2 linked regions of the Medicago truncatula genome follow. The protein of the gene in region 2 interacts with the protein of the main gene of each other region in a pairwise test. Links are inferred from orthologs where the notes say so. Each region holds a gene or a part of one and is shown on either strand. Other genes may lie near its edges.

The links.
Region 1: the proteins of protein farnesyltransferase subunit beta (region 2) and protein farnesyltransferase/geranylgeranyltransferase type-1 subunit alpha interact in binary tests that used the Arabidopsis thaliana proteins (3 or more experiments, as listed by UniProt). The link is inferred for Medicago truncatula from reciprocal best matches to the Arabidopsis thaliana genes ERA1 and FTA.

The regions. Positions count from the first base shown.
Region 1 is NC_053043.1:48,326,865-48,343,043, forward strand, and holds protein farnesyltransferase/geranylgeranyltransferase type-1 subunit alpha, read left to right. Parts: upstream 1-8,488; 5' UTR 8,489-8,572; coding exon 8,573-8,815; intron 8,816-8,969; coding exon 8,970-9,079; intron 9,080-10,625; coding exon 10,626-10,746; intron 10,747-10,856; coding exon 10,857-10,952; intron 10,953-11,571; coding exon 11,572-12,003; 3' UTR 12,004-12,262; downstream 12,263-16,179. Other genes in the region: uncharacterized protein, read left to right, coding at 1-77, 246-293, 863-929, 1,326-1,426, 1,652-1,696, 2,204-2,674, 3,059-3,232; endonuclease III homolog 2, chloroplastic, read right to left, coding at 12,970-13,122, 13,338-13,421, 13,763-13,867, 13,982-14,119, 14,296-14,387, 14,986-15,052, 15,650-15,756, 15,850-15,913 and 1 more. UniProt on the Arabidopsis thaliana protein: Essential subunit of both the farnesyltransferase and the geranylgeranyltransferase complex.
Region 2 is NC_053047.1:1,500,964-1,517,477, forward strand, and holds protein farnesyltransferase subunit beta, read right to left. Parts: upstream 8,407-16,514; 5' UTR 8,347-8,406; coding exon 8,216-8,346; intron 6,971-8,215; coding exon 6,884-6,970; intron 6,775-6,883; coding exon 6,669-6,774; intron 5,713-6,668; coding exon 5,677-5,712; intron 5,093-5,676; coding exon 5,010-5,092; intron 4,889-5,009; coding exon 4,835-4,888; intron 4,480-4,834; coding exon 4,428-4,479; intron 3,691-4,427; coding exon 3,626-3,690; intron 2,964-3,625; coding exon 2,907-2,963; intron 2,773-2,906; coding exon 2,700-2,772; intron 2,611-2,699; coding exon 2,524-2,610; intron 2,451-2,523; coding exon 2,297-2,450; intron 2,187-2,296; coding exon 2,062-2,186; intron 1,830-2,061; coding exon 1,593-1,829; 3' UTR 1,404-1,592; downstream 1-1,403. Other genes in the region: formate dehydrogenase 1, mitochondrial, read left to right, coding at 10,594-10,689, 11,849-12,020, 12,161-12,701, 12,890-13,014, 13,106-13,218, 13,745-13,858. UniProt on the Arabidopsis thaliana protein: Catalyzes the transfer of a farnesyl moiety from farnesyl diphosphate to a cysteine at the fourth position from the C-terminus of several proteins having the C-terminal sequence Cys-aliphatic-aliphatic-X (CaaX).

The sequences.
Region 1 (16,179 bases), on a different chromosome or scaffold from region 2:
GAAGTCTCAGTATATCGTCCGTTCCCGAGAAAGCTATTCATCTCGCATCACCAGCAGTGGAGATTCTTCCTTCAAAGGTACAACTACCATTTTTATCTTCCTCCATCGAGACACCCCCCTAACCAACCAACAGCAAAAATGAAACTTTACCTTGAAAGTTGAAATTAAGGCATTTAGTTGAATTTTTTGCCTACTTTTGGGTGACTGGGAAGAAGTGTAACAGATTTATATGTCATGCTCTGCAGGCGTTTCACACTGACAAGGAAGCTGGGGAAAATAGTGACCATTTTAAGGTACGTCTCAGCATGGTTAGTTTCATAGTAATTGTTTTCTGAAGGGTGGCATAATCAGATGGCTTGTGTCTTAATTAAATTATTTATGGAAAATTAGTGTTATTGTTGAATCAATGATAGTGCAAGGATTTCGGGTTGGTTTCTATTCTTTCATTTGGCCAGTATCAATCGGAAGACAATTACCTATAACTAAAAATTAACTGCACGCCCAATAGTTCAATTATTCAACGTGGGATGTCATGCAGTTGGCAAACAACTACAGGCACCTCAGATCCATATCAATAAAATGGGATGCAGGTTTTATCCTTTGTATTATTTTGCCATAGGCATGATTACCAAATCTGCCGAATACAATTCTTTACTTTGCGTTTCTGCAGAATCTGGTACACTTTTGAATGCTGAATTTACAATATTTCTTAGCAAGAACTTTTTCCACTCCTCATTTTCTTGAAAACTTTCTCATCTAAATTTTGTCTTCAATAATCTTGTCATGATATTATAGCTTATGTTCGCATATCAGTTAGTTTAATAGTTGTGCGGAAACTGATTCTGTCTTAAACCTCCTACAGGGAATAGTAAGTGTTGCTGATATCATCGGGTTCGGTGGTTCAGAGACAATATCCTCAAGACTGGATGGTATGTACATGAAATTTCAGTCTGTAGGCATTGGACACATGATAATTTTTCTATAAACTACTATTTTCTCTCCAGTGTATTACTATGCAAACATAACAGTCAACAAAGTAGTATAGCAGAGAATCTTTAGACCGTATGCTATGATACCCAGCAAAAACTTTTTTGGCATGAAAGGAAAAGGACAACCCTTAAGGTCAATGCTGTATTAATTCAAAACTTCAAAATATTAACCAACCTACTAAGCCAATTTGTGTCGGAAAAATAATGACATGATTCTTGTTGAGTATAATATCATTTAACAATCATGCTTTGATAGACAATAATATACATGCAATTTGTTTCCTCATCATTACAAAGGAGGGGCAGTATCAAATTGATCTATCTGTGACTTTGTAGGCTATCCGAAATCCTGGTCCAGTTCCATCGATCTTGTCAGTGTTCTCAAGAATGAGATTCGTGACGGGCAATTGACCTTCAGAGGAAAAAGAGTTCTTGAGGTAACTAATTGAAAGATATTTTTGCATGCTTTAATGCCTTGATTTGGTTGTCTTTAATTCTTCTTATGCTTCATCCTCTTTTTCTCATTTACAAATGCTCTCAACGTTAACTGTATGGCCACAAGATTTCTCTCTTTTCTTCTCCCTTGAGCCATATTTTTCAATCTTTTTAGTTGTATCTATTATTCATAATTTAATGATCTCTTCACTTCATGTTCCGTGCAGCTCAGTTGCAACTATGGACTTCCTGGAATCTTTGCTTGCTTGAAGGTATACAGTTGCACTTTAGGTCTCAGTGCTCACTTTCTCCTTTCCTTGGTCATTTGTCACTAGTTTGTGTGTATTTGATAGCTGGAAAGAACAACAACATTCATCTTGTTTGTGTAGGTGTTGGTTTATTGTAGTTCGAATACTTGAACTGCAGTCAAATATATTTTGTAGTTATTCTCAATGTAATAGTGTCAAAATTGGACTTCCAAGGCACTGTGCTTTCACCTTCTTTTTATGCCTTCCATCTAACTTGTCACGTTGACGAAAGTATATAACAAACAGAACAATGTCTTCCTGGTGCCACCAACCTAAAGATTTTGGATTCTTTTTTGGTAATATTTGCAAACTGACAAACAAGTTCTGCTGCAAGAAGAGAAATTTTTTAAAGTCTTTTGGTAGAATAAAAACAATGGTTAATTGGCTATACTTTTTTTCCCAGACGTTCAAAGAAACATTCACTCATTGGAATAATATTCTCTGTCCTCTAAATGGTTCTTTATTTCACAGGGAGCTTCCATTGTGCATTTTCAAGATCAGAATGCTGAAACTGTAAGATGCACAACTGTACCGAATGTCCTTGGTAATCTCAAGCAAGCTCGTGATAGGCAGAGTCGACAGCCAGAGTCTCCCCTTACTCCTTCAAGGCAGACTCTTGCACCATCTGTTAACTTTTATGCTGGGGACTGGGAAGAATTACCTGCCGTGTTGTCTACTGTGAAAAATGATGGATATGAAGCGACACCTGGAATGAGTTTGAGCTTCTCTGAGGAAGACTTTTTGGATGTAGGCAGTAGTCAAGATGGTAGCATCATTGGACACGAATCTAGTTCAAGAAGGTCTAGGAAACTCTCAGGAAGTCGAGCATGGGAAAGAGCTAATGAGGCAGATCAGGGGGATGGTGGCTATGATGTTATTTTAATGACTGAGATTCCATACTCTGTTAACTCTTTGAAGAAGCTGTATGCTCTCATTAAGAAGGTTTGTTTCATTATACTTGGTTGTCTCTGCACTTTCTTATTTTAATGCTATACTAAACTGCATATCCTGTTGTCATCAGATACTTATTGTTGTGTCATCAGATACAACAAATATCAACTTGGTCACCGTCTAAGTATACCAATCGGTGACCATACCAATTTATTGTATTTGATTACACGGCAATAAGTCGTAACACCATGGCATACAAAACACAATGAAATTTCATCAAGGTTAGAAATAGATTTTCAGACGAAGTAAGGAAGACACGCGCCATATATCCACCCACACTACAATGAGTATTGCATCGATGGCATTGTCCTGATTGCATAAGTTTCCCCTTGTCAACATTCTGATTCCTATTTTCTGGTTTCCCTTTTATAACAGTGTATAAGGCCTCCATATGGAGTGGTATATCTTGCTCCAACTAAGAAGCACTATGTTGGCTTTAGCAATGGAGTACGACAGCTGAGAAATGTGTTAGATGAGGAGGGCATTTTTGGAGTGCATTTGGTTAAGGATTTGGCTGACAGAGATATCTGGAAGTTGTTTCACAAGTGAACAGGAATTCAAAGATCAGATGGATTATTATAGCAAACTTCAGTGAAAAAAAAATCTAGACAACATTCATACTCTGAATCATTCTTTTGTTTTTTGAATTAATAATTTCTCCATTTTTCTTATAGCTTTAGTAAATAACGGAGGTCTGAATTTGTAGAATTAGTTGGACATGCATCATGTTCAGTGCAAATCAATCTCATTGGATTGTTTTGCACACTCATATGGTTGGATAAGAAACTCGCATATTGGAATTGTAAATCAAAATGGTATATTGAAAATTGAAACTATCCTTTTTGTTGGATTATAGATCCTCTCTAGCACTTCCTGTTCCGTGATAGTCATATCTTCTTTCCTAATCCAACCGTTGATCGACCACAGAGAAAAAAGTAGATGAATGATCGAGACTAAGATAAAATGGACAACAGAGAGAGGATCAAAATCTTTTTCAATTTCAAGGCATTATAAACCCCATTTGGGTTGGCATGGTGGTATTGACCTGAGATATGGAAGTGTGCTCCTTCTTGAAGTCTTAGGTTCGATTCTCTTCGGTGTCAATTTGGGTGGGTTAATTTAGATTCTTCAAAAAGTAAATTTCAAGGCATTATTTTTTATTGGGTTAATATATGTTTACCCCTATAATATTAGTGATTTCCGTTTACCTCTTGAAAAAAATTTGTTTAGATTTCAACCCTGTAATTTGAAGAATTTTGGTTTTGGATCTTCATGAATTTTGACTGTACAAAATCGATGATATGGTAGGGTGGTAAACCGAAATATTGATGATATGTCAGGGGGTAAACCGAAATTCTTTCAAATTACAAGGGGCGAAAGTACCTTAAATTTTGTAATTTGATGCCATGAAGGTTCAAAATCAAAAAATCTTCAAATTACAGGGTTGGAATCTAAACAATTTTTTTTTCAGTGGGTAAACCGGAAATCACTAATATTACATGTAAACATATATTAACCCTTTTTTATTTTATGTTTATTATTATTTTTTAATGAAAAATTTACATGTATTTTTGTTTGAAGGAGGATCATGTATATCATATGTTAGTTGCTAATACTTTTGAGCTTTTGTTTTTATATGGCAAATATTCGTGTCTGCACAATTTCTTAAAAAAAAAAAAAAACTTTTTTTTACATTAAAAATTGTACATGATACTGAAACAACAAAAAATAACTTTTTTTTACATAAAATTATCTAGTATCTGTATTTTTTAATTCTTAACAAATGCCCTAAATATAACAACAAATCATATTAGATAAGAACATTCACTCTAATCAGATAAAATGAAGAACAATTTTTGCAACAAAAAATGATAGTTGCATAGGAGAGAAACATACACAATAACACACATTAAGAACATGTTTTGTTTGGTAGTGGTACAACCATTATACGTCACACACATTTTAATAAAAAAGAGAAGTGTTATTTGAACAACCAATTTGGTGATAATTTATTTAACAATTATATTTTACAAAGAAAAAAGTGGTATTGACACGGAAACCATAACAATAGAAAGATAAAATAAAAATTAATGTGAGTATGCTTGTTGCAAAAATTATCACTAAATGGATGTTCAAATATCATTTCTCTAAAAAAAACTCAATTATCTTATTTAAGAAGAGGAATCTTTATACTAACAATTTAAAGTTTTTAGAAATAGCTTATTCCAAATTCCTCTTTTAAAGATGTCCACATCATCCTAATCCTACTTGGCATTTGTTCCAAAAATTTTCCCAATTATTAATACAAGCTTAATAATTATAATTATTATTAAAAACCGTTTTTTATTTAACATTAAATTATACATAAAATGCATAGTTGGTTACAATCAAATAATTATTAATATAACTATTGTTTTGATTAAGATTTATATGTTACATTAAAAATTTGTACGTTACAATCAAATAATTATTAATATAATTAGTATTCAATTAACATTTATACGGTACATTAAAAATTTGGTAGGTTACAAATTTATAATAAATAACTTGAATAAATTATATTTTAAATTTTGGTCCGTTACACTATGACAGAAACCTACTAATTAAAAAATTTAATTGTAGTAATTAGTTTTTAAGGTTATATAATTAATTTGTATTCATTACAAAATTATATTACTTAATATTAATAAGATATTATTAAATTTCAAATCTTATAAAGTTAATTTTTTGTAGGTTACATGAAATATAATCTAATCGTTTAATGTACATTTTATAATATTAAAGACGTTGATAATATTAATTTTAAAACGGTCAAATTAACAATTAATATATATATATATATATATATATATATATATATATATTAATCGTTATAGTATTATTTTCTATATAAATAGTAGCAAGTTTGGGTATGAGTACACAACAATCACAAAATATAGTTTTTTTTTTCTTCTTTTGTTCTCTGGTTCTTTGATATCTATGTTCTAAGTTATTTCTGTAACTTTTTATTGCAAAGAAAAAGGTCTACAAAACACGACTTCATCTCTGATGTTTCGCCAAGAAAATAATCGTGGACATTGGTTGTGAGGGTTGTTCGTGCTTGGTTTGTTCAAGACTACAAAAATAAAAAACTACCATTTTCCATGGAGTTGGTTCTAATGGATCGAAAGGTACTTTTTTCATATTGTTTTTTTTTTTTTTTTTGGTATATTTTTTTGAAGTATAGTGTTTTAATCTTTGTTATCTCATAGATCACAAATTGAGCTTGACAGATAGCATGTAAAATGACACAAAATGAAATATTAGCTCAAATAACACTCTTCCATGATCCTAACACAGTTCTAGAGCAGAGTCATCATGAACATATAGCAACAACGCATATGCAACAAAGTTTATCAATATTTTATGACCTTTGTATTTTACCTTTATTTTTAGTTGCCTGATCTATCTCGCATTAGCATATTAGAAAAGTTTTTTTAACCTTACTCTTACGATCACCATTAATGAGTTGAAGAACTTGCATGTAATTGAGTGGGTTGACATAGATCTCCTACTTTTTTCTAACCCACGTTTGGTGGAGGTTTTAGTTTGTGGGATTCGGTTAGGAACTTTAAGAAGGAGGAAGTGTTTGTTTGGAAAAGTTGAACAATGAATTCGAAATCAAAATTACAGTAAAGTATAACAAAATTAGGTTAGAGTGTTTTAATTTGTGACTTATGATCACTAATTAAAAAAAATGATGGAAGTAGATTAAAGAAAGTTGTTTTCTGTCAATTTTTTTTCACCGGAGATAATTTGCTTCCGAGAGAAATACTCTCTCCAATCTTAAATATAAAAAATAAATAATTTTTTTTATCTTAAATTAAAACAAATATAACTTACTTTGACTCTATTTAATGTTATTTGTCCTAATATACATTTTAATTCATGTAAGTTTCAGTTTAATATTTTTTCATTCTCATGAAACACATTCCAATATATGGTACTTTAATTTTTTTTTATCAAATCAAGAAAACTAATTGCATATAAGTGAAATTTTGAAGTTAGATATTTTTTATAATTGAAATCCGAGAGTATTGTGATTAAATAAAAAAGTAATAATATTATTCATACTGGTAGATTAAAACGGAGGTAATCATACCTGTTTAATATATTGAATGACTGAGAAACCAAAGTTAATTTGAACTTTTATTAATTAGATATATTTTTAAGAATATATTAATTATTTATAGTGTTTTTATATTTTAAGTATATTTGTACTTTTGCCCACTATTTTATGACTCATAAAAATATTTCTTTTAAGAAAATGGGATGCAGATAGATCTGCGACACCCTAATTACATTAAAATATTTTTGTTTGTAAAAAAAAAGACTGGGGACATAGTAACCCAGTTAAACCAAAAAGGTAACCAGCCATATGATAATACAATACATGACAATCTAATGGGTAAATAAACAAATTCGAATTCATAATTAGACTCACACATCATGTTGCACAATCCAGCGAACCCGCATTTCGGGCACAAAACCAATGTGTAAAAGAAATGGGATGTGTGAACTGACGAGTCTCGAATTCCAATTTTGAAGCCGGTAAGAAACTGATCGCCAACACCAAAACAAATCCACACGCCACCAACCCACTGCATCTAACATGACAACAACCAGCTTCAAATGCCATTTCTAGCCATACACGTCACTGTTGACAAAGACGACAACGCCCCCATTTTCGGTGAGACCATTTATGAAAAACACAACTTCGAAGCAATGTCGAGCTCATAATCAGAATCAGACCGTGAAGGGAAAATTCTACCACGATTTGTAGGATAACACAAAAGCCGATGACAATGGCAGCGAAAAACCCAACAACCGTCGTTGAAACACAACCATAATGCTCGCTAACCCAACCACCGCAAAAGATAGGAGATTCACAGCGGTTTCAATAAACCAAGAAGAAAAATCTGATCCGCAAAACATGAGACAACCGCATCAGACTATCGCTGTCTAGAAACCAGATTTGAGAGTAACAATCCATAACAGGTGTTGTTTGGTTCGATGGAACCGATCCTAAAAAAGGGGTTCTAGGAGGTGGTCAAAGAATCACACCACAACCTCCTTGATGCGTGAGGTTACATTGTGAAGGGAAGGTTTGGATTTGGTAGGATGAGCAAAGAAGGTGGATGGAGGAGAAGGAAGGCGGCTCTCACAAAAATAGTTATATCTTTTTAAAATTTAATTTTTTTTTTGTCTTAATAAACGGTGATTTATTTTTTCAATTTTACATATGAGGATAGAGTACCACATAATGTCAAAATTTTGAAATAAAATTAAACTAAAAAAGTCAAATAATATCTGAAAACCTAATTATGTGTAAACTCCGTTAATTTTTTTAAAATAAAATGAATCCCGTGCTTGGCACGGGAAGTTACACTAGTGTTTTATACATAGCAAATGATTGGTTCATGAATGCTTTTGTTACGTTTAAAGAAGGGCAAAAGCGCTTCATTAACTTCAACTTCGAATTTTGTGGAACTCATATCATAGTTAAGTATAAATTTCACTTATCACGATTACTTTTTTGTATTTTATTTAAATTATCACTTTTAAGTATGAATTTCATCTAAAAAAACATATTTAGAACATGAATATGAGACAATTTAAGAAATTAAAGACAAATGATTGATGATCGAATTGATCTAATATTTAATTAAATTATAGACCTAATATTTCGTAATTTTATCCACATTATATTTTTTAAATTTCACACATAGTTTATCCCAAAAAAATAAATTAATTGTTAGATTAGTATTTTTTTTTTCTTTCTACTCCGCACATGTTAAGAACACCCTAGCAGTGAGAGAGTGAAGAGAAGTGAAGAAGAATCAAGAAACGATGGCCGGAAAAATCGAAGATGAAAGCAACGATCGCGTGCCTCTGCGGTTGCGACCGGAGTGGTCCGACGTAACTCCGATTCCTCAAAACAACGGCCCTAATCCAGTAGTTCCGATCAACTACTCCGAAGAATTTTCCGAAGTTATGGATTACTTTCGTGCTGTTTACTTCGCCAATGAACTTTCATCTCGCGCTCTTTCTCTCACCGCTGAAGCTATTTCTCTAAATGCCGGAAACTACACCGTAATTTCACAATTCGAATTTCTTTTTCCTTTTTTGAATTCAGATTTGATGCAAATTGAAATTAATTACTTATTGATTTTGATTAATTATGAGTTTTTGAGTTAATGATAATAATTAGGTTTTTTAAAGTTGTGATCTTGTGATGATTTTGTAGGTGTGGCATTTTCGACGGTCATTACTTGAGTCTCTGAAAGTTGACCTACATGTTGAAAGGGAATTTGTGGAGCGTGTTGCAAGTGGAAATTCCAAGAATTATCAGATTTGGTGAGAGATCTTTCTTACTTGGTTTGCAATTTCAATTGCTATTTTTAGTGATTTTGTGTATAGGGCACGCGTTAAGAAACCAAATATAGAAATATTGTATTGGAAGATTGTATTCGATTCATTGCAAGCTTAAAAATTGTTTTTTTAAGCTCACTCACCAAGCTACCTTCTGGCACTAGTGATTTGCAGCTAATTATTCTAGGTTATTTTAAGTACATGGCTTGTTTGTAGACATGGAATGGCGTTATGTGAACAAACCATGTTGTTTGTGCAACAAGTCCTCTGAAATTTTGACAAAATGGGAATTTATCGCTTGTTAGTTTGAACTTTGAAGTAGATGCAAATATTAAGCAGGGTAGCTGTGGTAGCAAAATTAAGAATTGTTGTCATGTGACTTAGAGCTCATAGGTTCCAGTCATAGAATTATATTGTTGGAATATGACAAGTTTAAACATATATTTGACATGGCTAGTTATTGTGGCATTTTCCATCTATATTACAATGTAAAAGCACACAAATTATAAATTACAGCTAGGAGTATCCAAACTCCAAACTGGTATCTGTAACGTGTTTGATACGGTATAACTATATTATGGAGTGACCATACTTCCCTGTAGGGAGCATTACAGCACTATCTTTTTTCCCAGTTTTCCCACTTGAGTTATTTGCACTAGGCTATATTGTGTTTGGGACCTTATTTTACCATTAATAGTGGACTATGGAAAATCTTAAAAACTATCTGACACAACTAATTAAGCGGCATTTGCGTCTACGTTGCTATACAAATAATCAAGTAAAATGCAGCTAAGAGTAATCGATGTGGTATTGATGATGGTTCACCACTGTTATGAATTTGATTACTATTTTTGAAGTGTTTCTATGTAGTAAGCATTAGGCTTCCTTCTTAAACTAGTTACTGTACCTGGTTTTTTTTTTTCTTGCTGAAAGTTGTAGATCTGTATTCGATGATCCCTTGTGCTCTCCAAACGTCACTTGCATTGTCTTTGGGTACTTATTTTAGTGGAAATGGAAGTATGGTAATAATGGATAAAACATATTATTTCACATCCAGGAAGATAGATTTTTATGTTCAAAAGATGATGCTCTTTCCTCCAGTGTCAATCCGATATAAGTAATATGAGTGGACGTCGCACACTCTAGTCTTTGTTCAATGCAATACACAAAATAAGTTTAGTGGGCTAAGCATAACACATGTTTATTGACCTCCAGTGACCTTTACATATTAAACCATGATGGTGATATCCAATAGCATAATGTAATAATTCACCAGGCAAATGTTGCTGGTCTGAGACTAGAAAATTGTTCTTATTTCTTGCATATTACTTCCTTCATGGAATTGTAAAGAATGTTCTTCTTTGTTCATATTCGCATGACATTCAGTTGCATGATTTGAGGATATAGTTCATATTTGATAGTCATTTCTTATATAAACCATATACATTCATGAAGTCGTACTTTGAAGTGCTTCCTTTGTCTTCTTTTGCATACACATCATCACATTGATCTTGATGTCAGATGTTTATAGGCATCATAGGCGATGGGTTGCTGAGAAATTAGGACTTGAAGCTAGAAACAGTGAACTTGAGTTCACCAAGAAGATATTGTCTATTGACGCCAAACATTATCATGCATGGTCTCATAGGCAGGTTTGTTTCTCCTATCTTTTCCACGAATCTAATTTTCAGATGGTGTTGCCTGTTCATATTATTATCATGACTCAATAAAATTTTGCTTCTTTTTTTGCATGGACGGACAGTGGGTTCTTCAAACCCTAGGAGGATGGGAAGATGAACTCAATTATTGTAGTGAACTGCTTGCAGAAGACATATTTAACAATTCTGCTTGGAATCAGGTATCCGACTATTGTACATGTTATGTTTAGTTTTGGTACATGACATAGTAAAACACAGTATATGATTGTTTTCTAACTAATTGAGAGATCAAACACATGTAGTATTCCGTATACTTAAGTCATTGTCCAAAATGTTACTTTTCCCAATAATTAAAATTGAGAAACATTGGTAGACAAAGCTAAGCTAAGCTGTTGCTATTTAAATACCTGTACACGAATAATCTATTATGAAAAAGAGAAAAAAGGGAGGTCTTAGAAATGCTTTCTATTCCTATTTGCATTCTAAATTTGGTGTGTTTGCCATGTATATGGAATAAGTCTACAATCTATAATTACTTTCTAATCCTATTTGCTTATTAAATGTAGCGTGTTTGCATTGTACTCCCTCCGTCTTTAAATATAAGCAAAATTGACTTTTTAGATTCATTCATTTAATGATGTATGTGGTTTATAATATGGACCACATACATCATTAAATGAATGAACATAAAAAGTCAATTTTGCTTATATTAAAAAACGGAGGGAGTATGGAATAATAACTTGACAATCAATTTTACTTTTAAAGCATTTTTTTGATATTTTCAAATTCAATAAAATTAACTCGTAATATTTTATACAGAGATATTTTGTCATAACAAGGTCTCCCTTCTTAGGGGGGATTAAAGCTATGAGGGAGTCTGAAGTGCTTTACACCATTGAAGCCATTATTTCCTACCCTGAAAATGAAAGCTCTTGGAGATATCTTCGAGGACTTTACAAAGATGAAGCCACATTATATGTAAATGACACTCAAGTTTCTTCAGTATGTTTAAAGATTTTGAGAACAAAGAGCAATTATTTGTTTGCTCTTAGTACTCTCTTGGATCTTATCTGCCTCGGTTATCAACCAAATGAAGATTTCAGAGATGCCATTGAGGCTTTAAGGACTTCAGATAATGAAGAACAAGATTCAGATATAGCAAGAACTATTTGCTCTATTTTAGAACAAGTTGATCCAATTAGAGTCAACTATTGGGTCTGGCGTAAGAGTAGACTTCCTCAGGCAGCTTAATACCGTCTGTAATTTATACTTTGTCTATTGAAATTGGATGTCATGAACACCCTATGCTTGACTAGTATTTTATTTTTATTTTTTTTCTGACAAAGAGAAGCTTGACAATTAAGTTATTGGGTGAAAACAGGGTGGTTGTTTTTGTTCTGATATGTTTTCAATATGTATTTCTATATTTAACAGGGTAGTTGTTTTTGCCATGATATGTTATCAGGGCGTACTTTTATAAATGCAAAATTGTGCTCTTTTGTTCCCGCCATTACTAGCAATTTAGTGTGACAACTTGTTAAGTATTGGAACTAAGTTGAACAAAATATATTTTTCACCACCTTCTTTTCTTGTTTTATAAAAAATGGTCTTCTACTTTTGCGTTCTTAACATTGTATTAACGAACCACTGTGATAATATGTTGAAGTGTATAATTAGGCATCTATCTATGAAAAACTTGTTTAAATTAATAAAACCTATTGAGTCAACCTGTATACTATGCTTGATTCCAATGTCAAACAGGTAATCACTAAGTGAGAGATGGACGGAGTAATATCATTCTCAATGATTCCGTGGTAAACATTTTGTTCAAAATTAGAATAAACTAATTCTTAAACAGGTATTACAAAGCTGGTAAGTGAATACAATTTTGAGACAAATCAATTAGTTTAAACATTCAATTTCACTACAATGCTGTTAGAGACTTGTAGTACTATTATTGAACCTGATATTTAATATTGACATAACAAAACCCAGTAACTAAAGGCAATAGAAGGGAAATTAAACATGAAAAAAAAATTAGTTGAAGATATGTAATTCTTCAATACATACATCTCTTTTAGTTAAAACAAGAGTCTTTCTTCAAAATATATACATCATCACTTAGATAGACACGGGTGTGTTCAAGATATTTCTCATTATAATTTGATCACATAAAATTCTTAACTATGTATGTATATCAAATCTGAAACAAAAGAATCAGCTTGATTCAGGCTTCTTATTCAATTGAGATTTATTGGACCTCGAAGATGAACTTGAAGTCTCCTTGAACGCCGACGGGCAGAACCTACTTACACCACACTCTCCACAGCGAGGCCGTAAAGGAGTACAAATTGTCCTTCCAAATCCTACCTGTTCAACTTCATATTTAAGCTAGAAGATGCTTTACATATATGCATACAATGTTGTAAGATAGATGGTATAAGAGGCCCAAAAATGTTTTTGGCAATGCAGAAATAAAGTAACACACCACATCCAAAATATAACCATTTAGGTGCATTTGTTCCTATACTATCTATAGTACTATACTACTACATAGTCAAAGAGAGTGAATGTTTAATTCATACCAAAAGAAGATTTATTGCAACCCATTCTTCCCTCGGAAGCCACCGTTCCAGCGCCTTTCTTGTTTCTTCGGGTATTGAAGTTCTCTGGCATGGCACGAGGAAGATAATTATTAACTTTGAATTTGTGACACTTAGAAGTTATTGGAAAAAGTAACAACTAGCCAATCAAAGAGCAAAATTCTTCCTGCTGACAAACACCGACTGACAGTCAAGCAAATTTTGGAAACCATGATAAACAAAATACATGTTCTGATAATTAAATTGCATTCCCAATATGTTGTAACATACATATTGATCACATAACATAAGCCTTGATATTGTCAAAAAAATAAAAAAATAAGCCTTGATAATCTTGGACAGTAATAAGCATAATTTTTCCTTCTAGCCGACAAATATAATGTGATGCTACCAAACTTAAAACAAACCTGTTTTGTGCCGGGTCTCGAAACCCATCCAAGACGATTGCTGATGCGGTGGACATGAGTATCTACGCATATCCCTTGGACATTGTTCCATGCAATAATCATAACCTACAGCACCACTAACAAAATGATTTCAGGAAATAAAACTAAAACCATTAACAAAATGGAGCTTAAAACTAATGAAACAAACTGTTTGAAATACGAAAAGAAAACTGTACATACCAAATGAGCAATCTTCGGACCTACGCCTGGAAGTGAGAGTAGTTCCTCAATTGAGTTAGGTATGTCTCCATCATACTTAGTGAGACAAATATCAGCAATTTTCTTCAAGTTACCAGCTTTTCTTATATAAAACCCAACCTGAGAAAAGAATGCCCAAAAGCATAAGCACAGATATTCAATTAATAAAACACAAAAAGGACATAAAATAAATTGACACGCTAACATCTTATAGAAATACTGGAAGTTTCAAAAGTGGAATCTTTAATTTTCCACCAAATCCAAATTAATTGATCAAAAGCTACCAAAGAACATACAGGGTAAATCTGTTTTTTGATAGTTTCTTCATCAGCTTTGTTGAGTGCATCAGCAGTAAGAAGACCATTTTGACGAAGACGTTGAGTTGCTCCTATTCTTGAAAAAAAACACACTCTTAAATATGACTAAACTTGTACGAGAAACTACCAAGAATCAATCACATAAAAAGACAGATGATAAACACAATTGGAGGCCAATGTGCACATAATGGCTGCTCAAATTTTCTTAGATTAACACTTCATTGGTTTTCAAAGTTCAGCCTTCTACATCATGCAATATAGGAAGTATCTAATTTTTTTTGCGCTTTCTTTCTGTGTCGGGCCTTGTAATGGATACATACTAATTTTTAGTTCTGATGTGATGTTGTATTTTTGTGTGTATTCCAGAATATTCTATAAGTTTCAGAAGCTTCCCAAACATCTCTTACACTTCAAAAATGTTCAGAAAAAGTTTAAAATGGATATGAGAAAAACATGGAAACGCTAAATCAGTTTCCATTTCACCGAATCATGCTCAAAACCTTCTTCTAAATGGACCAAACTACTTCATACAGTTATGTCATGAATCATAAATATTGTCGAAAAATAATATTACGATCTTAGAATGAAGCTTCTCAAACTACGAACAAAAGAAAACAAATCTCGACATGTTTTTCATGACCATAAACTTGAGAATGTAAATGTGCTTACCGCGAGTAACATGCTCCTTAGTCTGGCTTGATAAAAGAGAAGATGCCAGGACAGCAAATCTTCTGTCCTAATTATATGCATAAGAATTTAGTTTATTATGACAGTAAAGTTATGCACATTAAGGTTCACACTGTTATTGAAATCAAAATAAAATATTGGCCCGATAGTCAATAGCTAATAGCTAATATAAATTTAGTTTATTATTAAAGGTTTCTAACTATTAATGACTGATAAGAGATTGCACAGAAGAGAAATATTAGTTTGGTGAGAATTTGTAACGCATGTATTGGTTGATAAATGACTAAAGCTATGTTTGGATTGATGGAACAGAATGGAATAAACAGACATTGGTTGTCATTGTTTGAACCTCTATTTCTCTTCCCCAATTAGGGATATGAGATGGAATGGAACCATCATATCATTTACTAAACAACGAAAATTACCTTCAATATTTCATAAATCACCAAAACAATGGTATGGTTAATTCCTTTCATTCTATCTCATATCATTCACCGATAATTATGTATCATTTTAACCAAACACAATTAAACTGTCCAAGAAATAACTTAACTTTATAATCACATTAAAGACATAAGCCAAAAGGTTAGTGCTTAATTTCTTTCACCATGCGCGAAGTCAATATAAATAGCATATAGATTTAGACCTTAGGAGGATGAATATCAGCATCTTCCCGATCACCGGTAGTGTCTATCGAATACATCATTTTGCGAATCCCTTCAAGCACGTTTTCCCAATTGGCAGGACTCTCATCTACATAAATAAACAATAAGCTCCCTAAACTTAAAACACTTCCATAGAATAGAATCAACCCAAAACTGTACATTTGTTGCAATAAGCACTTACTAGTTTGACCCAATCCATTTGTTCCTGTGTATGCAGATCCTTCAATCTCAGTCAAACCAAACTTCTGTGTAGTAAAATTACTAACATAAATTATATTGCAATACATGGAAATGTGAACATTTGAAGAATTCCCAAAAAAAAAATTGAAAATTGCTTAGATTAGAAAAAGGGTAAAAAAAAGTCTCACTTTTTGGTCTTGAATTTGCAGCAAGTGCTTCTTTGGTTGAAGTTGTGTAGTGTTTTTGCGTGTGTTAAATTGGAACACTAAAGAGATAAAAAAATGAATGAATTTTAAGGAAAAGGAATTGAAAATAAGAATGGGTTGTGAAG
Region 2 (16,514 bases):
ACTAATAAATTGTTCTCTTTTTTTTTTGTGTGAAGAAAATAATGGGCATCCTTGTACTTTTGATTTTTGCAAGAGTATCAATATATGTCTCCAAAAACATCGGTACCAGGACATAACCGGCTCTTTTCACCGAGCATCCTCGCTTTTGCGATCGCCTTGCCCTTGAACCCTTCGGGCTACATGCGTCATATCTGCACCACCCCTTATAGCGACCCAACACTCATCAATTGTATCCTATAAATCCTCTTATGTCCTTACCTTCTTTATCAAATAGAATTGAGAGCCACACTTTAGAGCTTAAACAATTGGTCAAATCCACCGCTCATCTAAACAAACATAAAGTCGCTATTCTTCAAAATACACAACTGCATGCGGTAAAAGGCGTAAATTTACACAATCTGAAGAGTATGTGAATGGCTTTTGGATATTGTGGTTGTGCTTTTACTTCAAATTTTAAAATTATCAATTTAGAAATGGGACAAAAAAAACATAAATATTCTCTTTTAGATGATAAATTATTGTAACAATTGCTTACAAGCAAGAGTGCAAATCAGTTGTCATTTGATTACATTGTGAGTGCCAAAAGGCAATTGGACATCGTGAGGATAAAATGATTAATTTAACAGAAAATGTTTGTTTGCTTATGATAAATGCATGATTAGAGGGTTTAAACTTTTTTTTATTGATTTCTTATATGTTAACTGGTAATCATATTTGAGACACTCACACACTAAATATGAATTGTTAGGATCTCTTCCAACTGAGATTTAAAACTTGATTCACCAATATTATGAAAAATTATCTCTTCCGTTGAACTGAACCTCAGTCGAAGGATGGTTTAACCTTTTCATTTAACATAAAAATACCAAGAAGAGGTTACATGCTTCCTCTTATCCTCCATAAAATGATCAAGGAAACAGATAACAAATGGATGTGGCTTATGTGTAAATAAGATTCATTTGTGGACTTCCAATGCTTTCTATCAAACCTTAATGTAGATTTATAAAATGGAAAATGTTATCGAATGCCCCGGGCACTCTTTAAGCACTTTAAATGGTAAATTTTTATGTAAAATTGTGTATTCAATGCATTGAAAATTGTCATAATTGCCTTTTTAAAAGAATGATTACTAAATTTGGGATCTTTAAAGAGTGTGCCTCGAGGGCACTCGATAACATTTTTGATTTAAATCGAGGAAAGATCAAACCAAACATCCACCTATTGTGCATCAGTTTAATTAACAGTTTCTCCAATTTTTCACTGGTTCCTCGTCCTTTCCAGACTCGACAGAGCATTGATTCACCTAATTTTGGTTCAATCCATCCAACTCAGTATAAAACAAATCTCTATAAGATATGTAAGTAACACACTCTTTTAGTCTTATTTGGTACAACTCTTGTAAATCATAACCCCTTTGGAAGGGCCAAATCAAATGAGGAATGAAAACCAAGCAAGTTCATAAGATTCACATGAATTCCATCCAATAATGTTTTTTTTTGACATTTCCTATTTCTATGTGATGTTCCAATGCATTTATGTTACATTTTACATTCAACAGATTGAGCTCTTGGTAGCTAAAACCATGTCACCAGTTACAAACCACTAAAGAATTCATGAGCTTCACGATATCGTTCCAAAACTACATTAAACAGAGGATGGATGGGTTCTAAGAGATTGGAGTAAGGGCCCATTACTACCTTAGGTAATGGTGGAGAATCTGGGCGCTTGGACCAACTATACTGGCACAATGAGAGACCACTTAAACAGTAACACGAGTGATAGTGATCCCTCCTTTTACCTGGTTTGTCCCGTAGTCCACCTTCTTGCTCCTGCATCAATCAAGCACAAATTACAGTTACAGAAATTAAAATATCAACTTAAGCATCTGCATATTTACAGAATATAATGTCAGATGAATCAAATCAAATGTTCAAATTCTTGGACAAGATGCAATTATATAAAGCAGAATTTCCATTTCAAACTGTCATGGGATCAAGTAAGATATCTTTGTAAAGAAATTAAAAACACATGAAACCAATATACAAATTATAAAAGTCATACCTGTGCACATAAAAGAATATATTGCTGTAAGGCAATGCTGTGAAAAAGCGGTTCACTTTCTCTCCACTCGTTAATAAAGTTAAGACCAATATTTTTAACATCAGATGAACAGGATTCACTTATCCCTGCAAGAATTAGAATTTAAAGTGAAGTGTTAATGTCCTAAGAAATGAATATAGAAAGAAATTCTGTGATTGAAGAAAATTTTCAAATATATGCTTCAAAATCAACCTACCTTCACGCCTGATACGGGAAGTTGCATGACTTGATGTTCCAGCCGAACTTTCCTTTTCGTCAGGCGCATCAGATTTCGTAAAAGACTGTGATGCCTCTACCATTTGTTCTTCAATAACAGATTGTAATCTTTGCAATAGTGCAACAGCACCCCCCTGAATACTTTCATGTTTTTAGCCAACTATATCACAGAAAAGACTGATGAAGAAAATATAAAATTTCAATCACCTGCCAAAACGAGTAGCATCCATCCACCAATTTATTTGTTCTCCCCTGAAATCCACACTCCTTACCTTGCCGAAATACAACCCAATCCTGAAGAAAGGAAACATAAGTTATATTTCGTAGAACTTAAAAAGTTCATAAAACTTGTGGGAAGCCACTAAAAAGAGCAATTCTCTTACAAGTAAACGAGGCAGATCCAAGCGATTAGCCTCACCAATCAGAATCATTGCAGCTAATCCACAAAAGGTATACCTGATAAAGAAAAAATAGTAAAAATATAAGATAACTTATCATGAGGGTAGATTGACTTTTTATTCCAAATAATATAATTGTGAAGAGGTATAAAGAGAAATGAGAGAAGGATGGTTGGAAAGTATGATACATACCCACCATGAGCCTCAGAACCAGGCTCACCAGCAATGCCACCCTCATATGTTTGACAGCTGCAAAGAAACAGCTTAGTGTATAAGACATGTATTACATAACATATAGTGCTCTGCATGCAATCAATTATTTCACTTTCTAGTTGACCAACGAACTATTGTACACAGCAAGAAACCCAGAGTTCTATGAAACCTTCAAATACGCAAAATAATAAAAAATAAAAAAATAAATATATGGAGAGAACTCAGTACCCCAATACAACATTTCCCAAAGGCAACAACATTGTGGCTAGTGTGAGTTTCAGTTAATGAAAAGATGACAGTTTTCCTTATTGCCAATCCCACTAGATTAGCAAAAATGGAGAGAATTCAGTTACCCTCGCCACCATACCACCAAAGTCATGACGAATACCACTTTTAATTGTTTATACCTTAAAGGTCACGTGTGAGGCCCCACATACTTATGAAGAGATCCTTAGAAACGTTTTCCCCGTTTTCTCAAATGCAAGCATACTTTGAACCCTTGCAAATTGAACTTAAGGAAAACCACTCAAAAATCAAAGTTGTAGGAACAAAAGTAATAAGTTTGACTAGTAAAAAGTTTATAGTCTAAACATTGCAAGTGCTTCTTGAAATTAACATTATAATATTGTAGAATCAAGCTCGAAACACTCAGTTTGATTTAATTCCAAAAATTAAAGCAAGTTCATCTTGAAACTAACCTTAATATGAAGTCTCCAACATTCTTGATCAGCTCATCATCCAAAATGTTTAGAACACTTGCTACCTGGTTCCAACAAGATTCCCAGTGTTATGAAATAGATATCTTTTTTTACCAGCCTTGGCATTAAAAGTGTTCCCCTCCCACAATGAAAATCATAGAGGATAATGGTAGAAAAAGTATAAGTCCATGTTGTTAATCTCATATAGCGGCACATAGTGCCGAACCTCAAACGAACGCAAACAAAACAACGAATGCAGAACGAAAGCAAGCAAATGAAAGACGAAGAAGAAAACACAGAAGAAAGTGAGGAACGAACGCAAATAAAACACAAGAAAATAAACGTGGGAATTCAAATATTAATAATGTAGGTCACTTTCGGGGATTTTTTCCCTGAAACCCTAATAGCGGGCGCGAGTCCGGGTTGAGGCCGCAATTCCACCACATTTCCGGACGCAACAAACGCCACTGCTGAAGGCGGCTCGCAGGAAGATGGTGTTGCGCCGAACCCTACCAATGCTATGCTATTCTGCTATAGTGTGCTCTGTAGTGGCGCTATTGACAACATATGTCTAAGTTAGCCAACAGCTCTAGCATCCTTTCATTCCTAACTCGTAATATGCTATCAAGGCCATGTCTAATACAATAAAATGACCATTATAATAACTAGTATAACTCTCAAAACAAACAAAAAACTAGTATAACTATGCATGATGAGATCCAAAAAGTGCAATGTCTGCATATTAACACATCTACACATGCATGTGTGGAAGAAAGACACAGAAACAGAGAAAACCACTTACAGAAATGGCAGTGTAGCATGCTCGAACATCGATTTCTCCTTCATCATGCATCCTGAATAAAACATTTGATGATTGAAAATAAAAATAATGAATAAAAACAAAAAGATGATTCCCCAAATAAACTCTGAACGTGTCAACAAAATAATCAGCATTAAGAAATGCTTTTAACACACTACTCAAAGTCGCACCATTTAAATTTGTGCAGGATAGCAGATTTATATTTTCACACCGTGTCCCCACAAACATTACCAAATCAAAATCTGGCATCGCTCATGTGTGTGAATAATTGCAATATGTGCAAGCATTCACACGTCAAAGCAACCAGATACAATAAAATGAATATGGGCAGGCATCAATCTAATTTATTTTTGTTAATTGAAGGCACAGAGATGAATATGATACCATACCTGAATCCCCCATTTGGCTGTTTCATCCGCCGCATAAACCCATACAATTTATCTCTGAGAATAATATTTTCAAAGTGTAAAACAAATCAATTCCAAATACAGGAGAACAGAACTCTACCGAACAAAAGATACAAAAAATTGCTAGAGCTTGCTTTGAAAAGAATAAACTGACCACCTATTAATTGATGCCAAAGCTTTATCACCACCCAAAGTAATAAGAGTATTGACTGAAGCATAAGTTGTGGCAAGATGAGGCATCTGAGGAAGATTTCAAAGATATCATAAGCATTATGCTTTTCGAACAATTAAAGAATATAAAGGAAAGACGCAGCATAAAATTTTGAAAATATTATGGTCCTTCCAGGAAGTACTGCAGTTACAGCAAAAAATTGACCCAACAGATACATGGAATATGCATTACATTGAAAATATAAGATTATAAAGTACTTATTGACTATAACTCAATCAACAAAATTGGGGAAAGGAGATAAAAATAAAGCTGAAACTTATTCAACTGAACTTGGCTCGAACTCAAACATAACTGCCTTCTTAGTTCTTACTTCACACAACTGAACTGAACCATGCATGAACCATGATACCAAACCACCATTTGACATATTCTCATAGTATTCATAAAAGAAAGAGCTATATAGTATTTATAATTATGGGGGATATTATACTTAAAACTAACCATGGTATAAGTTTCTATGGATGTGCATAAGTGGTGTTAGCAAGAGACAATAAACCATAGTAACAAAGAGAGAGAAGTAAGAATCAAATTCAACAAAACTATAGTTTGATGTTAGACTAGAATTAAGTAAAAAAGTGTAACAGTTGCTTGCCTGGCCAGGTCCCCCAGCAAATCCACCATTTGGATCCTGTTAGCATTTAAAAAACAAGAGATTCATAAGGAGGTAGAATGTCATAATAAGGATAAAGTACCATCCAAGAAATCCTCTCTCAAATCAAATAAGATAAAACATCACAACTAAATGGATCATCTGGGCTATGTTTGACACTCAATCAAAACCAGTACATAAATAAAAGTCCAAACAAATCATGGTTCAGTGGAAAAAACAAGTAGCACTATAGTGTCTAGAGTTTTTTTTTTTTTTTTAACAACTATAGAGTCTAGAGTTAGTAATACAGTATAGTGCATAATTATAATTTTCCAGTCATTATTTTTTACTTGTAACGATACATACATTGAAAATACATGAATACAAACACACAAATGTCTAATCATATCTTACTATCTTAGTACAGCATAAAAACACACAGAATGAAGAGTTTAACACCTATGCAACGACATTGTACAAATATTTTGTGGAGACGTACAATCATTATTTCCTAAAATAGATAGACAAATGTCTACACTAGTCCTCGTTATTACAGTTTAGTGGTTTGGCTGTAAGCACATTTTATGTAGAATGCAGGTTCAGGTCACCACACTTCCCCCTCCGTGTGTGCGGGCCACTAGGCCAATAGCAAAAAAAAAGTCTACATTAAGATATAAGGATATGTCATGTCAGTCTAAACTAGTTTTACACTTTCGATAAAAATCCAATCCAGTATTTTTCCACGTGATCCATCTTTTATAAGAGTATTTTGAAATTAATTGTATGAGATGGAAAAATGGTTGTCACACATTGGATAACAGTGTACAAAAAAAACTGATTTAAAGTGCCATTGTATGTTCACTAAACTCTAAGATATAATTAGATATTATCTAAATAAAACTTTCATACCAGCGGCAATTAAATTAAAAAAAAATGAAGATATCAACTCATCTATTCATTCATAATAAGTCAGGTGATATGAAAATATAATATACCTGGCAACGGTTAAGAAAATCAACTGTGTTATCTTCAAGGTCATCATCAATAGTTTCTCCCAACAAAGCAATTGCGTGAATAATCCAGTAACACAGCCACGGTCGACTGCACCATAAACCACAGCAACACTTCACCATTTTTTTTCAAATATCAAAAACTAATAACAGAATTCACAACAATCATGCAAAAAATCAAAATAGAAAGAAATCGATACTTTGCATCTAATACTGAAAAAGCTGAACCGAGATGGCGAAGTCCTTTAGAAAGATACTCGATGTGTTTATCTCGTTGCAACTCCAACCTGAAACATAAAATGAAGATAATAAATGTATGTTTGGTTCAGCGTTGATAAAAAATTGTTTTTTAATGAATTGATTCTAGCTAAAAGTGAGTTTAAAGTTGAGTGATTTACGTTTGGATACACTTATGTAAAAGTGAGTTGAACAATAAATTTGAGTGTTAAAATCAATTCTAGAATCAAAAGCTCCAATTTCTAGATTCAAGTAGAATCAATTCTAAAGGCAAAATTAATTCTACTCAAGAGCAAACAAACATGTCAAGAATCAATTCTACACCTCTAGAATCCATATTGACCCCTCTAGAAGTGAAACCAAATATACACTTAGCTACCTGTTACAAACTTTATATGACTACAGGCAGGATCAACCATGTAGCGTACATTAAATCTTTACATAATGCAAGTTTTGTACCCACGAAAGGGGAACAAAACATAAGCATAATGTAAACACCAGAAACAACACACGTTGACATGTCGGCACACGATATTATTTTAGAAAATGACATAATTGAGTCAGAAGTGTCGGACACTTACACGTGTCGGACACTTACAAGTGTCGGACACTGGACACCCCTTGGATCAGAAATGTTGGTGCTATAGAGCTAACAAGTATAACTAATTTAACAAATTCTTAACTACCTATTCATAAACTTATTTGAGAAAATGACATAATTGAACGTAACATGTTTCGGTGTTGGGAAACACCTTCGATCAAAGGTGTCGGTCCTACTGAAATAACAAGTATAAATAATCTAATCAAGTCTTAAGTCATACAAACTATTAACAAGTTATTTGAGAAAATGACATAATTGAATGCACTAACATGTTTCAATGTCGGGCTTCGATCAAAAGGTGTCGGTCTTACTGAGATGACAAGTAAAACTAATCTAACTAATTCTTAAGTCTTAACTACCTATTTCCAAACTTATTTGACAAAATAGCATAATTGAATGTAATGACATGTTTCAGTGTCGGACACTTACACGTGCAGAACACTAGACATGCATTCGATTAGACATGCCCCGGGTGCTACAGAGATAACGAGTACAACTAATCTAACTTACTATTAACTGCTATTATTATTTGGTGTCGGGACACGCCTTCGATCAAAAGTGTCACTGCTACTAAGATGACAAGTATAACTAATCTAACTAACTTTTAACTACTATCAACAAAGAGATAATTATAATACATGAAATTTAATTTTGAGATTGAAAAATTGAGAATGAAGAGAGAGAAGATAGTTACATGAGGGATTGAGCGTTAGGAGGAATAGTAGAAAAGAGTTGATAAATCTGAAACACTTGTGATTCTACTATCCATTGATCTCTTTGACTCACCGTTGGAGATGGTGTCTCCACCACAGATGAAGGTTCCATCGGATACACCGTCGGTGCTTTCTGGAACTGACTGTGTAAAAATTGAACGGAAAATTAATCTGACTAATCTTCTTTTGTTTTCTCATTAAGAGATTTGGGCCTGTAAACATTTGTTAATCTTTCAGGCCCAACCCAATCATGACTTGTATTTTAAGGGTTGCGTTAAAACTCTTTTTTTTTTTTTGACAAAGAGACAAATATCACCAAAACCTACGCACATTTGCAATATTCGATTTGAATATGAATGAAGATGTTTAACCTAATAGATCTGACATTGTCAGTTAAATTATATGTTTCAGATGTTAAAAATGTTTAATATGGTTGGATACGAGATCAAATCTACAATGTATCACTTCTCTTTACTCAATTTATATCTCTTTTATTCAATATTTGATCTTTCGTTTGTCATCAATAAAAAATCTATTACCACATTAAAAAAAAATAGTTGTAGACGAATTGGTAGACGTCCCCAAAACCTCGCACACACAACTGCAAGGTCTTTAGTTCAAACTCAAGTGAAAATGTCAAGTCTAACGATATAGACATTTGCCGTTTAGGCTAAATCTTACAGACTAATTTAGATATTTAAACATTTTTTTAACAAGGTAAAATGGAATATATTAACAGTAAAAAAATTATTTTATCTAGCACAAGACGTACATAGTAGAACATCAAAGTCTTACCTAAGTAACAATCAAAACAAAATCAACAAGCATAAATTAACCTATGCCCACACAAACAAAAGGGCTACGACACCAACTATGATAGTCAAAAGCAATATGAGCAACTTTTTTCTTCGGTTACTGGTAAAAAAAACAGCTTAATTTTGTCCAAGAAATGATAATTAGAGCTTCCTTTACTATTAAAAATCATGTTGTTTCAATCTCCAAGAGAACCAAACTAAATGCATTATAGACTGCCGCGATTTTGAAAAATCTGCCAAGCTAGCAAACTGAACAAAATGATATGCAATTTCAGCTAGATCAACCGATGAAATACCAAATTAACTACGAACAAGATGCTAAAGAGGATAAATGATATTACACATAAAGAATAAATAGTTTGCTAGGAGTCCCACTACTTTTTTATGTTGATATGACTTGTTCGGGGTGAACAATAATTCATTTTTATTTCTTATTTTGGTAATGGTCACTATTAACTTTGCTCTTACTAATGTCAAATCTCTTTTACATAGACTTAACTCCAACAAAATTAAATTAAGTATTTAAGATAAGATGAGATGAGGGCACACAAATAATTCAACTTCAAAAAACACAAAGATGCAAAAGACAAAAGAGCAAACAAATGCAATATTTAATAGTAAGAGTGACACATAGACAATGAAAGCAACACTTACATTACAAAATAGTATTATATTAATAGAACTCAATTTCTTTTTTGTTTCCTATAAAGAGTGTTTCTAAAAAAATATAATGAAATTTATTTTTTTGAGGGAAAAAAAATATAATGAAACGAAAGTCAATTATTACTCAAATAATTCCAACTTTACTAAAGCTGGTCAAAGTTTATCTACCTATTTATATGCTTCCATTTATTTCTATCGTGTGAGATTAATAATTGAATTTCCATTGTGTATATATACTATTAATATTAAATTTATCAAAAAGAGGTATGGTCTAAAAAAGAATATAGACTTTTATGTGAGATTAAAAATTAGATGTAATTGTCTCGGTTAGCATATCTCAATTGGCAGAGACATGCATTGTTATATGCAGAGGTCGGGGTTCGAACCCCAAACACCCCATTTATTCACCTTAAAAATGGTGAATTCTAAACTATTTGACAAAAAAAAAAATAGATGTAATCATATAAATAAATAATAATGCATCAAATCTATAAAAACTGCGGTTAAACATATTTAGACGAACACATAACTATGATCAATGACCTCCTTCAAATCTTTTATGTTACACCTCATCCACACAACCGATTTAACTTTATGACATAAGACTTAATTGTTGTTGATGCGACCCTAAAAACTTAATAAGAATTTTACATATATTCACATTAAAAAGGCAAGAAAAGGATTGGAGTTGGAAAGGGTAAAGCCTTCCTCACTCAGGTTAAGTTAAGTAGTCTTTCACTATTCTGACTGCTCCTAATAATATCCTTCAATATTTTCCTATATAAACCCCCCCTCATTACTCTTCTCAATTCACTAACCATTCTTATTCTCTCTAATACTTTCAGTTTCATCACTTTCATTGAAACAAAAATTGTTTGAAAATGGCTATGAAACGTGCTGCTTCCACCTTGATCACTGCTTCTTCAAAGATTTCATCACTTTCTTCACCTTCTTCCATCATCACCAGAGACCTTCATGTAAGCTCAATTTTTTCATGCATCTTAATTTCATTCAATCATTTGGCAATTTATTTGTTCATGTTTTCATTTTAATTTCTTGATCAATTTTTAAGTAATCATTAGTATTATTAACAATTCAATTTATCCAAAAATGATAAATTAAGAACTCAAAAGAAGGTTTGGTTTGATCTGGTATATGTCAATTTTCTTTGCTCTTTCTTGCATGCATCGTGATGATCCGTGACATTCACGCGATGTCAGTATGCCACCCTTGTCTCTTTCAACAGTCAACACTTGTCACATAGAATACTCGTCAAACTTATCTTATAAAAAAAAAAAAATCAAATACATCAATTAAGATAAGTTGAATGAAATTAACGTTGATCTCACCTTTTAAAAATGAGTCTTAATCGTGGTCGATACATCAATTAAGATAAGTTGAATGGCAAAACATATTTTTTTTATAAAAACGCTATTATTAACATTTTTTATCATATTCTATATTAAAAATAAATAAAAGTGCATGAAAAGAGTGTGTTTTTTTTAAGGACAAAAGAGTGTGTTTTTAGACCTTATGTTTAATTAAGGGCTACATACATGGCTTTTGTGAGAGAAAAATATCATATTTTTTAAAATTAAATAATTATTTTTAGAAGTTGTCATCCGTGCATTATTTTTGTAAGGGTCATCCGTATATTATAATAAACCACTTTTAAAATTAAAAATTAATAGAAAATTAAAATAATCACTTTGAAAAGTTTTTATGAATATAAAATAATCACTTTCTAATTAAATAAAATAATCATTATATTATAAGCTTCTTGTAAGTACATGCATTAGAAGTGAAGTCCACGTAAGCTCTTCCAAACCCCCCTTTTAAATTTTGTGGAATAAAATTGGTGTAGGGTACACTATCCATTATTATTAAATAAATGTATCTAATAAATGTATGCAATCCTACATTAGTATAATCATTATACTTGTCTAGGACTAAATTTTTGGTGTAGCTAAAATAATAATGTTAAAAAAATTTGTCAAATGAAATTAAATAGCATGTACAATTTCACACAAAATAACAGTTTTAGTAGTTTACCTTAGTCTTTTATGTATGCTTGTTTTGTTCTTTGACTTTTCTTATGCATTACCATTTTTTTTTTTTTTCTGTTGTTGAGAATAGGCCTCTGGTGGAAAGAAGAAGATTGTAGGTGTGTTCTACAAAGGCGGCGAATATGCTTCCTTGAATCCCAATTTTGTTGGATGTGTTGAAGGAGCATTAGGTATACGCGAGTGGTTGGAATCACAAGGACATGAATACATTGTCACTGATGACAAAGAAGGACTCAATTCTGGTTAGCATTATGCCAAATTGATACACCCTCTTATTACGTCTATGCAGTAACTAAACAAATATATTTAATTAAGAATATGCAGATAATATCTCAAGTTTGTGATTGCTTGAACTTATGACTAATTTTTGTCATGTTGCCAGAACTTGAGAAGCACATTCCTGATCTCAATGTCCTGATATCCACACCATTTCACCCTGCCTATGTCACTGCGGAAAGAATTAAGAAAGCTAAGAATTTAGAGCTGCTTTTAACTGCCGGCATTGGTTCTGATCACATTGATCTCAATGCTGCGGCTGCTGCTGGTTTAACCGTCGCAGAGGTCACAGGAAGCAACACTGTGTCGGTTGCTGAGGACGAGCTCATGAGAATTCTCATTCTTGTGAGGAATTTCTTGCCTGGTTACCATCAGGCTATTACCGGAGAATGGAATGTTGCTGGAATTGCACATAGAGCCTATGATCTTGAAGGAAAGACAGTTGGAACGGTTGGTGCGGGACGAATCGGGAAGCTTTTACTCCAAAGGCTGAAACCCTTTAACTGTAACCTTTTATATCATGATAGACTTAAGATGGAGCCTGAATTGGAGAAAGAAATTGGAGCTCAGTTTGAGGAGGATCTTGATGCTATGCTACCAAAATGCGACATTATTGTTATGAACATGCCTCTCACTGATAAGACAAGGTATAATTTTAGTACTAATAGCATTCTATTCAAGCTATTTTTGACACTTGAAATCTGAAGTCTATAAGGGAATTCAAGATATTCCAATATCAAAATGACTTGGTTTTGAATGATGAGTGTGAGTACGTATTCCATGCGTTGTGTATTCATGCGTTGAATGAGCAAACTTTTTTCTTTTTGTGATTCAGAGGATTGTTTGACAAAAATAGAATTGCCAAGTTGAAGAAAGGTGTCTTGATTGTCAACAATGCTCGCGGAGCACTTATGGATACACAAGCAGTTGCTGATGCTTGTTCCAGTGGACACGTTGCAGGTAATTCTAAAACCAGCCGACATAAAATGTGTTTCGAAGCAAAACAAAAATTTATGTTTGAAGTAATGTAACACCTGAGTTTCATCTATAGGTTACAGTGGTGATGTTTGGTTCCCACAACCAGCTCCAAAAGATCATCCATGGCGCTACATGCCTAATCATGCTATGACTCCTCATATTTCTGGAACTACCATTGATGCACAGGTAGTTTATTTTTGACAAAATTACTTCACTCCTTTATCTTAATTTCTCGTTTCTGAGTTAGTCCTTTCATTCTTTTTCTCTTTTCATTTTAGCCTCACACTTTGCATGCATGCTTTTAAATGATAGTTTTGAGGCAAACTGTAGCGCCATATACTAGGAGAAATGAAAACAATTATGTAGCACCGACATTTCATATTGTAGGCGTGTCTAGTGTCCAACACGTGTCAATATTGAACATGTGTCCGTATTTGATACTGACACATGTGGTAGCATACAATTATTTTATTTTCTCGAATTATTACACGAGTGTTTGTACCCTTTATAAATACAATGTGATTATGTGATACATCAACTGTGTCATGAATCAAAATCCAAAAAACTGTTTTAGAAAGCCAACATCATGCCAACATTGTTAATGTTCTAGACTATGCATACATAACCTTTTTGTTTGGCTAAGTTCATTGACTACATTTTCTCCATTTTGTGTGTGAAACACTGATGATGATAATAATTGAAACTTGTCCAGTTACGTTATGCTGCTGGAGTCAAAGATATGCTTGAGAAGCACTTTAAGGGTGAAGACTTTCCTGAACAGAACTACATTGTGAAGGAGGGTCAATTGGCAAGCCAATACCGGTGAATGTAGTATCGAAGAGTGGTTCTGACTTCTGCGTCTTGTGTTTTTAAGGCCAATGAATTACTAAATAAAGATATCCGCGGCATTGTAATAATGTACTCGGCTTTGTTGAGGTTGTAACTTGTTTAATAAAATTGCAATGGACACAAGTATCATTCTTGTGTTTTTTTCTGAATTTCAGTGTTCTGTTGGTAGTTAGTGTATGTGTGTTTGAGTTAAGCATTGAATTACTCTTGGTAGAATGTGAATTTAAACAATTCAACCTTTGAATTGAAAATATTTAACTGATATAATCCACGAGTCACTACATTAGCATGCCTCCTAGTGAATTCCATTATTGAGTTTGGACAATATAGGGTATTAAACCGGATACAACTTTTTATTATATAACCCAACCCAGATGATTCAAAAGTATGGGTATTAAAATGATCTATCTATAAAGCACAGACACAATTAAATGTAATTGTATGTACCAGTGTCATGTCGACATATGTGTTGAACGTCAAACACATCTTTGATCAAAAGTGTCAGTGCTTTAGAGTCTACTACTTTCTACTTTAGAATCTAGTGATTTTCATATCGGTGTCGAACAAACATGTGTCGAACGTCAAATATGTCTTTGATCAAAAATGTCAGTGCTTCAGAGTCTATTAACTATTTTAGAATCTAGTTCAAAAATCACGTTATGAACTCCCATATCACTAATTCAAAAGAATAGCTTGCAGCAGGCCTGTCTTTAAGCAACTTGAAGCTTGGACAAATTTTTATTATATATAAACATTTTTTTTTAAATATATTATATATAAACTTTTATAAGTGTTATATATCTACTACAAAGTGTCATTTCTAGTTTTATCATATAATAATTCATTCTTCTTGTAAGACTTTTTACAAAAATGTGTTTGACTCTTAATTTAACATTTCTATAAATTTTTAGATGTATTTTTTACTCTTTTTCTGAATATATCTCTTATAAAAACTACCAATTTGTCTTGCAATGTAAAAAAATAATATTGAAAAATATAATGGTGGAACCAATTTCTTAAGTGAAAAATAAAATCATCCACAATGGATGGAAGGGTCTTATCTTAAAGGCAAGATACCTAAAAGATACTCATTATAGAGCAAAATAAAAAAATGATTACATATTGTGAAGAGGTGCTTTGTGAATCACTCTTTTTTTTCGATGGAACCTATGTTTTTTAATATTAGAATAATGAAATATAATGTTTTTTTTTTTTGTTGTTGAGGGAAGCATGCTTATAGCATTTCATTGATAATAATAGTTTCAATATAATTGGGTATATCGAAATAAACGGCGGGACTAGCTAAAGACGTGGCCTCTCTTGCAAGAGCATGAGCAACCGCGTTGGCTTGTCGCCTAACAAACTCCACCCTAGAGTTAGAAAATAAATTGTTGAACGATAGGATGAATTGATACAACCAAATTGAGGCTATCTCAAAATCAACATTATCAAACTGCATATCACTCAACCATTGCAGAGCAAAGTGGAGCCCTAAAGCTTCACCCACAACCATTGTCAAACGGCTAGAATGAAATATAATGTTATAAAGTTTTTGATAAATGATTAATAGATTTTATTTAAAAAAATTGTGTGAAATACTGGTGGGAGAAAAATTATAAATAAATTATACGTACAAGTGAAACTCGTTTAATACCAAAAAAAATAGATGTCTCTGCTGTAATTTTGTAGATGCTCTAAAACCAAAATTTTAAGCAAGTCTTTTGTGTTTTTATTACGTAAAGCTTGATAATTCTTCTGCACATTTTGTTCTTTCTTTTTTTGGGCTATTATTACGCATCTTTTTCCTCAGAAGGGTTTGGTCCAAAAGCATGGTGTCTTTGGCATCACAAAGGCATTTAAGCGTGATCCGTAAATACAGCATGATGATTATTTATGTTTCCTTTCGTGTGTATGAACTACATCACATTTCTTTCTTCTTAGACAATTTGTGAGTTCTTTTCAATTTTGAGTGAAGTTTGAAAAAATGGTTTGTTTCCTTACCTTTTATCTTTGTTCGATTGTTGATTTGATTGTCAAAACACGATTTTTTATGATTGATCATATGAGAGTCATGTTTTCTCATGTTTCAGAGTCAAGTCCACATTCATGTTTATGTGTGCTACCTATTTGTACACCATAACATTTGTTACTTAAGTGTCGATAAATGTATGAACAGTAAAGATTTTTAAAAAATGACGTACAGAGGAAGGGCACTGTTAGAAATCATGTGCTCTTCTTTCCTTTTTTTTCCTCTTCGTTTTTGTGTTTTTTAATTTTTAAAATTGGCAATATCCATGCACAAACACACTTAGAGATGCCACGTCAACCAAAATTGAGGGAAAATGTGGGAGGCATCATGAAATTGCACAACTGAGAAACTTGTAGGGTTAAAATCGCCGAACAAAAATCAAGGGGTCTAAATCGGACAATTAAAAAATTTAGGGGGTTAAAAGTGCAATTAAACTTTAATATTATCATTTACAAGAGAAAATTATTTTAGTCTTTTCATGTGTGAGGTATTATCAATGTAGTTTACAAGTTACTTATTTGTGTTCGTAATTTTATTGATTAAAATGATCAACGGAAAACACATTTAAAGATTAAACTAAAATAACTAACAAAACTTACTTTAC